Bombyx mori: one gene and its partner. The protein of the gene in region 2 interacts with the protein of the main gene of each other region in a pairwise test. Links are inferred from orthologs where the notes say so. Each region holds a gene or a part of one and is shown on either strand. Other genes may lie near its edges.

Region 1 (4,488 bases), on a different chromosome or scaffold from region 2:
TGTTCAAATAAACATTTAATTATCTTATTCAATATTATTTGCAATAGTACACGTCAGTTTATGTTGCTGTTAACTTTGTTTTGTACCATTTTGTCAACTGTACATTGACATTGACAGAATTATGTCAGTAGTGGTGTAGTTCCATTTTTCAAACAGAAAAGGCAACAGTATCAGACTATAGCCTGATCTTTTTATTTTTTATTATATGAGAATTGATATGAAACGAAACGAAGTGAAGTTGATTTATTTGAGACTGTAATAAATTGGGATGAAATTAAGTAAAACGAGATGCCCATCTTCTGTAATAAAGTCTTAGTAAAATGGTGATGATCTGCTAAGACTTCGGTAGACTTTTTCGAAGAACCTGAACAGCTATGTCAAAATTGACGAACGACTTCAAATTTCCAACATTTTGTCATTTTCACAGATGCTAAATAGTTAATATAATACAGTTACTACACATTAGAACCTGAAGAAACACCAAGTTAACAAAACCAAAAATTTTACACACGCTCCACGCATTCTCGCCAAAAAGTCTAACATTCTGTTTATACTCTCAGCAGGTAATTTAATTGGTTTATTAGACAAGCCAGCAAATCTGTTGTCAGAAAATGGCGAAGCTATAGGTTGTAGAATGGGAAATGAAATGAATCAGAATGAAATTATTTGAGATGAGATTAAGCAATATGGTAGTCGTTGAATGGGATAGCTTAGAAAGAAATAGCGTATCAGGAAAATTGGAGGAATCTACTAAGAGTTGGGTTTAAGAGAGAGAACCAGAGATGCTACATTTAATAATTAAGTTTGATTTACACATTTACAGATACTTAATAGTGAATACGCCGTGATTATTAGATGTTGGAACCTAGAAAAACACTATTTTAAAACAAGTCGTACAATTTGACACCTTGCCCTCCTACAAAAAAACTTAAACTTTTATTTCCTGCCTATTCTAGTAGCCTCGAGGAGTTATACTAGATTCTCCGAGCGAGTAAGAGAGCTTACGGGGTTCTAATCTGGTGAAGAGCTCCAGTGATCTGAGCGAAAACTCTCGAGAATTAATGTGAGCTCAGGTTTTATCACCAGGTGTTTCTGGGTTGATAGTAATAGTACTAGTAGGTTTATACAAAAAGCATGAAAGTTTCTCATAAAAATCACAGTACTTACTTAAAATACATTTTTTAAAAGACTGTTATCGTTCTGTTTTCATTGTGAATATCAGGAATATCACAAAGGCTGTATAGTCAATGCCAACCAAGCCACTGTCTATCAGTAACACATCTTGTTAACCAGTCTGTTAATTCATTTGAGTTGTGCGTATTTTCTCCTTTTTTAAAATTGGTTAGTCGATTTTTCATATCCTTTTAATATTACTAAAGCTGTTTCATTTTTCACTCGTTTAACACTTCAAAATTGGCATTGGCAACTTTAAAAGTTTGTCAGTCAGTCAGCTAGCTTTGGCCTAAAGGTCCAGATACCAGGCCATAAATTAAAAATAATAATAATATCAGTCAGCTAAATGTCGAAGTAAGTCTGCTTTGCGTTCGTGAATGTAGCCGAAAATGACACATTCCTGATGCTATATCAGTATATCTACTGTGATCAAACGAGCTATGCTTGCTCAAGTAATGTGATGTGTGACTGGATGGATATAGTGGTACTACGAAGTGGAAGGTAGTACACGAAGTAGCCTAATACAAATTTAATGCGTTTTACGTTCCACACCATGGTGTACCCAAGTTTTTGTTAGATGTATAAATACCAAAAAAAAGAAACAATATTTTCAGTGTCAGCGAGACTTATCAGTAAAATCTGCGTTTTTAGTGTGTGACGTAAAAGTTGTAGTAAAGCTTTGCTACGAGGAACTTTACTCTCAGATGTAAGTACCTGCTTGCGTACATTTGTTGTTAATTTTAATCCGCTTAGGTTCACGTGGTACTGGTTTTCGTGTTTGCATCGTTTAAAAAGTTTTATGTAATTTTAAAATAAATAAACGGTCGAATATTAAATTTACTTAGATTTGAACTATTGTTTAAATAGGTGAAGTTTGAAATATAACAATAATTGCAATCAATCACCTACCTGTTTCCAAAGAAGTCAAGTAAGTACGTCATATTTATCAAACTTAATTTTTTTTTATTGCCTTTGTAGGCAGATGAGCATACGGCCCACCTGATGGTAAGTGGTCACCGTCGCTCATGGACGTCAGCAATGCCAGGGGCAGAGCCAAGCCGCAGCCTACCATAAATAAATCTGTAGAGACCAAACATAAATCGAGTTGTATGATTTTATGAAATCAAAAATTTTACAAATATAAATTGAAGATTGAATAGATTCTAAATACAATTTTTTCAAACTACCTTCACACTTCCATCTTATTTTTAAACTGTTATCCCAGTTCCTGGCTAAAGTTAACTCCTCACATTAAGAAATATCCTATGATAATTCTCAAATATTCATATTGTATAATCATAAAATACTGCATTTTAAAAGACTAACATTGGCCCAAAAATAATACATGCATATTTGCATAGTGAAGCATATTTTGTATAATCTTTAAACACATTGACTCCACTTTATATAGTCAAATAAGGTCTCATGTCAGTCTCATAATTGACGGTGAATTTGTCGGTGAATGCAACATAGTTATAGAACTAAAGAAAATTCATAATTATCGAAAATACTTTATGGTTTAATTTTGTTACAAGTAACAAAAATTTAAATGCTGTTTTTTCCGGCAATCCTGAAGTCATGCATTTTTAAAATTCAAAATAAAGTGATACACTTTCATTAATTAGTTTAAGGTGGAAATAATTTGTGATGATTGTACATTTGTTAGCATAAACTATTACACATAAAATTAAAAAAGGATCTAAGGTACATATCAAGACTAAAAGCTAAAGCATTTTTTTTTCCTTTAGTCATGATTGCTTGTAGTAATTAATTATTTTTTGTTTTATTAAGTCAAGTGTTCAATACTGTAAACTGAACACAAAAATAATATATCCAAAGAAATAAGTAATAATAATAATAATGTATAATAATTCTTAATTAGTTGTGGCTCGGACTCAAATGAACGAAAAACACCAACTTTCCTTAATACAGCTTTGAGGCCTATAATTTGATGGTTGTAATGTAACAGAACCATGATACAGCTAATGGACAGTCTTGCAAATTGTCGCCTCCAAGCTGCGCCTATTTTATGTGTAATCTAATGAGTGTCATCCCAGCTTCTCCAGGAAAACAGCCAGCTGCGGTATGATGCCTGACGTGTGGCCCACGATCTTGAAGTGCATGCGAGCATCATTGTTTGTCGTTTGTTTCCCCTGTACAGAGGACTGTCTGTAAACAAAATCGTTATTAACCATTTCAGTTATAAATATTTTTCTGACAGATATGAGTAGAAGAATTATTATTTCAATAATATCTTAAAAAGCCGTCGTAGCTTCGGATTCGTCAATGTCGCGTAAATATCTTAAAAATCAATTTTAGTCGTCGTCGCCTAAAGGATAAGACGTCCGGTGCATTCGTATGTAGCGACACCAATGTACGATTCCCGCAGGCGGGTACCGATTTTTCTAATGAAATACGTACTTAACCAATGTTGACGATTGACTTCCACGGTGAAGGAATAACATCGTGTAATAAAAATCAAACCCGCAAAATTATAATTTGCGTAATTACTGGTGGTAAGACCTCTTGTGAGTCCGCACGGGTAGGTACCACCGCCCCGCCAATTTCTGCCGTGAAGCAGTAATGCGTTTCGGTTTGGAGGGTGGGGCAGCCGTTGTGACTATACTTGAGACCTTAGAACTTATATCTCAAGGTGGGTGGCGCATTTACGTCGTAGATGTCTATGGGCTCCAGTAACCACTTAACACCAAGTGGGCTGTGAGCTCGTCCACACATCTAAGCAATAAAAAAATAATGTTAAAATTTATTTTCTATTTTTTAGTTGAATTTTATATAAAGCGTACTTTTAAAACTATTAATAACATCAATTCCTGCCTTATCGACTATAGATAAAAATTATATAAATTGGCAAAAATCTTATTTTGCAAATTGAATAATGGAATAATCTTATCAAATTAGTGTATTGTCATCGGTCCTCGATAAATCTACAAAGTTTGAATGAAATCTGGCCGTTTAAAGTGGGTCAAAATCGCGTCTAAAAGAGTCAGTTACAAACAAACATACATACAAGTGAAGCTAATATAAAGTGTGTAAAAAAATACTGAAACAGTGTATCCGAGAGTATGCATCCTTAGTCACGTAATTGAAAAAGACGTGAGACTTATAATTCAAAGAGGTTTTCAATATGACCAGATCCTCGGAAAGTGACGTATGTGTGAGCTCTGAGTGCTCGTAAAACTTCGTAATGAAAATGACTGAATCGTTTGTACCTTAAGACGTCCGGCCGGTCAATTATCTGATCCGTGATTCACGAGCACCTATTTGATCGACCGTGAACACGTGTTCAAGTCGTTA
Region 2 (4,615 bases):
CAGCCCACTGAGCTGGCTATCTCAAACGACTAAACTAAGAAATAAGAACTCTTCTTACCAATTAGTGAGCGCTTCAGGGATTATTAATTGAATTAGTTTTTGTTGTTTTATATCAATAGATAATTGGAAATTTGTTTATATTTACATCAAGCGGCAGAGGGTCATAGAGTAGCTCTCCAGCGCCAGGAGGAGGCATAAACCGAGCCCATTCCCAGCACCAGCCCCGTCCGGCTACGGACTGCACACTGTAGCATGATCTACGCACACCACACTCTAATATTCCACCATCTATAATCAAAATGTTTTCTTTAAATACAAATTATAAATTGGGCTATTCAGGTTGTCATTTGGGATAGCTCAGTGACCAATTAAGTCCCAATCACTGGACTAATTTCTACAATCCTTAATGACCGGTAATTTTTCATTTACACAAGTAGTAGTAAGTAAGTTCCGGTAGTTTTCACAAGTTCTAGACCTTATAAAAATGACTTTTACGATTTAATCTCACATTTATTATTTTAATTTTATTGTTTTCAACATTTTGAATAATTTAAGTAGTTTAGTAGTTAAGTAGTTATCATGGATATCAAAACTTGAATAAAACAACCAACTATTGTTTCCTAACTATCATTTGACGCAATGTACGTATCTACTCCAACTGGGGTTTGATTTCTACTAAATAAATAAGTACCACGACAGACGGAAGTGTGTGCTTGTGTCACATATGCTATGTTTCTTGTAACTTCTGAAAGCATTCGAAAGTTGTTGAAATTATTAAATTAAATAGATTTTTAGCATTTCATGAGTACATCTTGGTTTACAGGCATAAATATTTGTAAATTAAAAGTTAGTGACCTTGACCTAGAAGATACAGATTGTTTATCAAATAGGGCCTAATAAAAACCACGAGGACAGTACCTATTTGGTAGAGAAAAATATTTTAATATGTTTACTTCTGACAGAAATTCACATCTTTTGATATGTAATCAGCCTTATTATTTAATAGAATTCATATTACAGTCCCTTCTCTAAAATATAATTAAAGGGTCTCCAGGTAATTTCTTTTTTCTTAATGTTTAAGTGCTTTTTATTCCAAAAATATTTACTTGAAAACATATTTTTATATCAAAATGGTTATTCTAATTGAACGCTAACTAAAATTTTCAGCTTAATATAACCTTAATAGCACCTGTATAAGTGTATGCATGGCATACTCCTATAAATAATTTGTTATTAATCGGTACTCATGGCTAGAAGTTTAATTGTACTGTTATTATGTTATGTTATTAGTGTTTTGGGTGTTTAGCAGAGTCAGTCACAGTAAAGGAATAAATAATATAATAGCAATTGAACTCAGGTTTATGTAAATGTGTAATTACCAGGCGTCTCATTACTCTGTGTCAGGGTCAGCAAGTTAACATAATATCCCTTCAATGCTGGATCAGCATCAGCCAATACCACCCTGGTTAACTTCTTAGCATGAGCCCTTTCTAGGGTCCTTGTAACACTTGGCGTGTGTGGTAACCATTGACCATTTGACTGCCACTCCCATACTACAACGCAGTGGACTGAAGACATTGTTCATTCCATGTTGACTAGAAATCCAAAAAAATAATTTTATAAAACTGAACCAAAAGCAAAATCAATGTATATAATTAAATATAATTGTTAAATATAAAAACCCCATTCCAATCAATTAACAATTTAACATACAAATATTGATTAGTTATGAATATAGTTAGCTGATTACTGTCATTAGATCAAACAAGTTTCGTACCTAAGAAGGAAACAGTATCATATGTACTATATGAGTCGACTATTATCAAAGGTGGCAATCTGACTTTTGGACAATGATTGGTAAATCAGAAAAACGAATTATTGACTTTGTATTCCATTGGCAGTCACAAAACTCTTCGGAACGACATCTTAGATAAATAACAGGTTAACTATTAACCTTTATTTAATGCAGGTTTTGAACCGTATTCTTTGAAGGAGACGATTATATTCAAATAAATCTGTATTGACATATCAATAAAAATTTTTTGTCCAAATGTACAGATTGCCGCCTTTGATAATAGACGACTCATATAGTCTTTTAAATATTTTAAATGATACAATAAAATAGTCAAAATGGCATGTTAATACCATGAGTGCATATGAAGACACTACTAGAGAAGTTAAAGTTCTGGAATGATATTCCTTCATTAAGAAGTTGTTCGTGAACATGCATTAAGTATTTCCTTATAATAATTGGTACTGGTGTAAAAATACATTAGGCAGTTCATTTATTACGCGACGAAGACTTCATGTATGCAGTTGGATTATTTATTGTATTCCAATAAATTTTGCTTTAAAATTATGTTGATAAACAATTTAATACACTTTCTTACTGAAAAATATTACAATATTTTATACTTACAGGTCCAGTTCCACATTTGAAAATTATGATCTCAATAGAGCAATAAATTCAAAATTAAGATAACGAAGAAAGCTACAGGAATGCTAAACCAATTTGTTTGTTTGTTTCACAATCGCTACTGGTCATTTTCTATTCATATTTCTCAAACATACCCAAATTCATTTACATCAAAATTGCTTTTAAAGTGATACTAAATGTTGAATTGAGTGTACTATTTCCTGAATTAAGTAACATTTTTGTTCTAAGTCACTAATTTTAAAGATTAAATAAAATCGTTGCAATTCTGTACCTATGTACCAGTTTCAACATAGCTTCATAGCCCTGACGCTGTCGAATACTGTCAATGATTTGACAGTCTTGTATATTTCAAAAGCCGAAGGAGTATTCGTGCTAGCGTTAGTGTTAATGTCCGAGATTCTCTCGAGCCCGTGAGTGTGCTCAACCTATCCCTATTCCAATAACCTATGGCTATTCCAATAACGTTATGACGATTGGTGAGCCCCGTTGGCCTACCCAAAGCTGTTGAAAGCCCACGGTTTTTTCATACCTAATTGCTTAGGTAGGGAAAAAAGTCTGAAAACGAAAATAGTAAATTGAAGTTGTCACAGCCAGAGTCTTGACCGTATGAGCGAAGTTTCTTTTGCATCTTTAATTGAACCACCAAATTAAAATAAAGCATCGATCAATTTTAATCAAATATGTGCAGAATCTGCAGAATCCAAGTCACATTTTAATGTTTTAAAAAGTACCTGCATCGAAGTTCGTTCGTACCTGCATCGAATTGCAGATACACAAACATTGATACATGCATACTATTGAAAAAAAATCACACATATCTCGCAATGAAGTAGGAAACCTAATAGGTCTATGATATCTCGTTATGGCGTTTTTACAACGTAAGTAGGTAGATCAGATATTTTTGTTGACAGTATGAATAACACATTTCATTTTAAATCGTACACAGCTATTAAGACGAAATTACAATTGACAAAATGACATTATGATAACAACATACTTTATCTCATTACATTGAGTAATTTACGTGAACTTAACTTTCTAATTAATCATTTACTCATCGATAATTTACTGGTCCTTTGTACATTAGTGTCCAACGCGAATTAATGCGATATTTATGACCAGAACGAGTGGCGTGAGACGAGCTTCCGAAGCTTTATGAAACCGCTCGAAACTTATGATTGATTCCATTCGAGTGAGCTGCTTAGAGGTTACCAAATAGTGATCAAATCTCTTGTCTGTAAATTACTTTGATGATCATCCAAACTAACAATGGACCACTATAAAATGAAAAATGAGAAATATAATGATCTTAAGGTCTACTTGTCACACTTGATGCTTTTCATTTCTTTTAAGTAACACTGATTTGCAAAATGTTGTATAATAGGACAACAAAATGTTGTACAAATATTAAATCTGGTCATTAAATGGATTGTTCAAACTGAGTGATATAAAATTATGAATACCATTGTTGACATTATGTTTGTTGGAAAAGTCATATTATTAACAATGTATAATAATATAATATAATAATATAGGTGTTACTTGCCTGGAGATATGTCAAAAAATGTGTTGTTTACATGAGCACCAGGCTCATCACAAACCAGGAGAAGTGGGGATTGCTCATGAGGTGCATAACATCTGCTCACAGCAATGATACTGAATGACTATCACAACTGCTCTGACAAGAGTGATATGACAAGGAATAGGAATACATTACATAATGTGAAAAAGTCTACACAATTAATTTTAAGAATTGATTATAAATGTTAAAAAAACACAAAAACTAAGAACTACAGTGTAAAATTACCTATTTATATATCCTTAAAAAATGTGTTGAATTTTCTATTTATTTCTACAGACAAGGGTCGGGCCGCCAATCATTTCAACCTCGAGATGGATTCTGCAGTATCTGATGAGGTAAATCTAGAAAATATGACTCAGAATATTAGATCTCATAATTTATGTTATTGCTTACGGTGCAAAATAAGAGCTATGTTAGAAGCTATAGTATTGTCTAGGACACCACCAGAGTATTATTACCTTACCTTATAGTTACTTTCATAATGAAATAACTATCAATGAAAAAATGAAAAAGTCTTGACAAGAAGCAGGAAAGAATAATGAAAGTTTGTGATTACATACTGTGAAAGAAGTTTGAATCATTGTTAATAAGAATTA

What was found.
Region 1: the proteins of protein deltex (region 2) and beta-arrestin-1-like interact in a two-hybrid assay, tested with the Drosophila melanogaster proteins (2 studies listed by BioGRID). The link is inferred for Bombyx mori from reciprocal best matches to the Drosophila melanogaster genes dx and krz.

Annotation. Positions count from the first base shown.
Region 1 is NC_085111.1:15,956,839-15,961,326, reverse strand, and holds the start of beta-arrestin-1-like, read left to right. Parts: upstream 1-1,438; 5' UTR 1,439-1,879; intron 1,880-2,040; exon of another isoform or gene 2,041-2,101; intron 2,102-4,488.
Region 2 is NC_085114.1:16,022,269-16,026,883, forward strand, and holds the start of protein deltex, read right to left. Parts: upstream 2,898-4,615; 5' UTR 2,709-2,897; exon of another isoform or gene 2,420-2,708; intron 1,596-2,419; 5' UTR 1,579-1,595; coding exon 1,380-1,578; intron 289-1,379; coding exon 146-288; intron 1-145. Other genes in the region: uncharacterized protein LOC101741377, read left to right, coding at 3,225-3,258, 3,292-3,315, 4,296-4,354.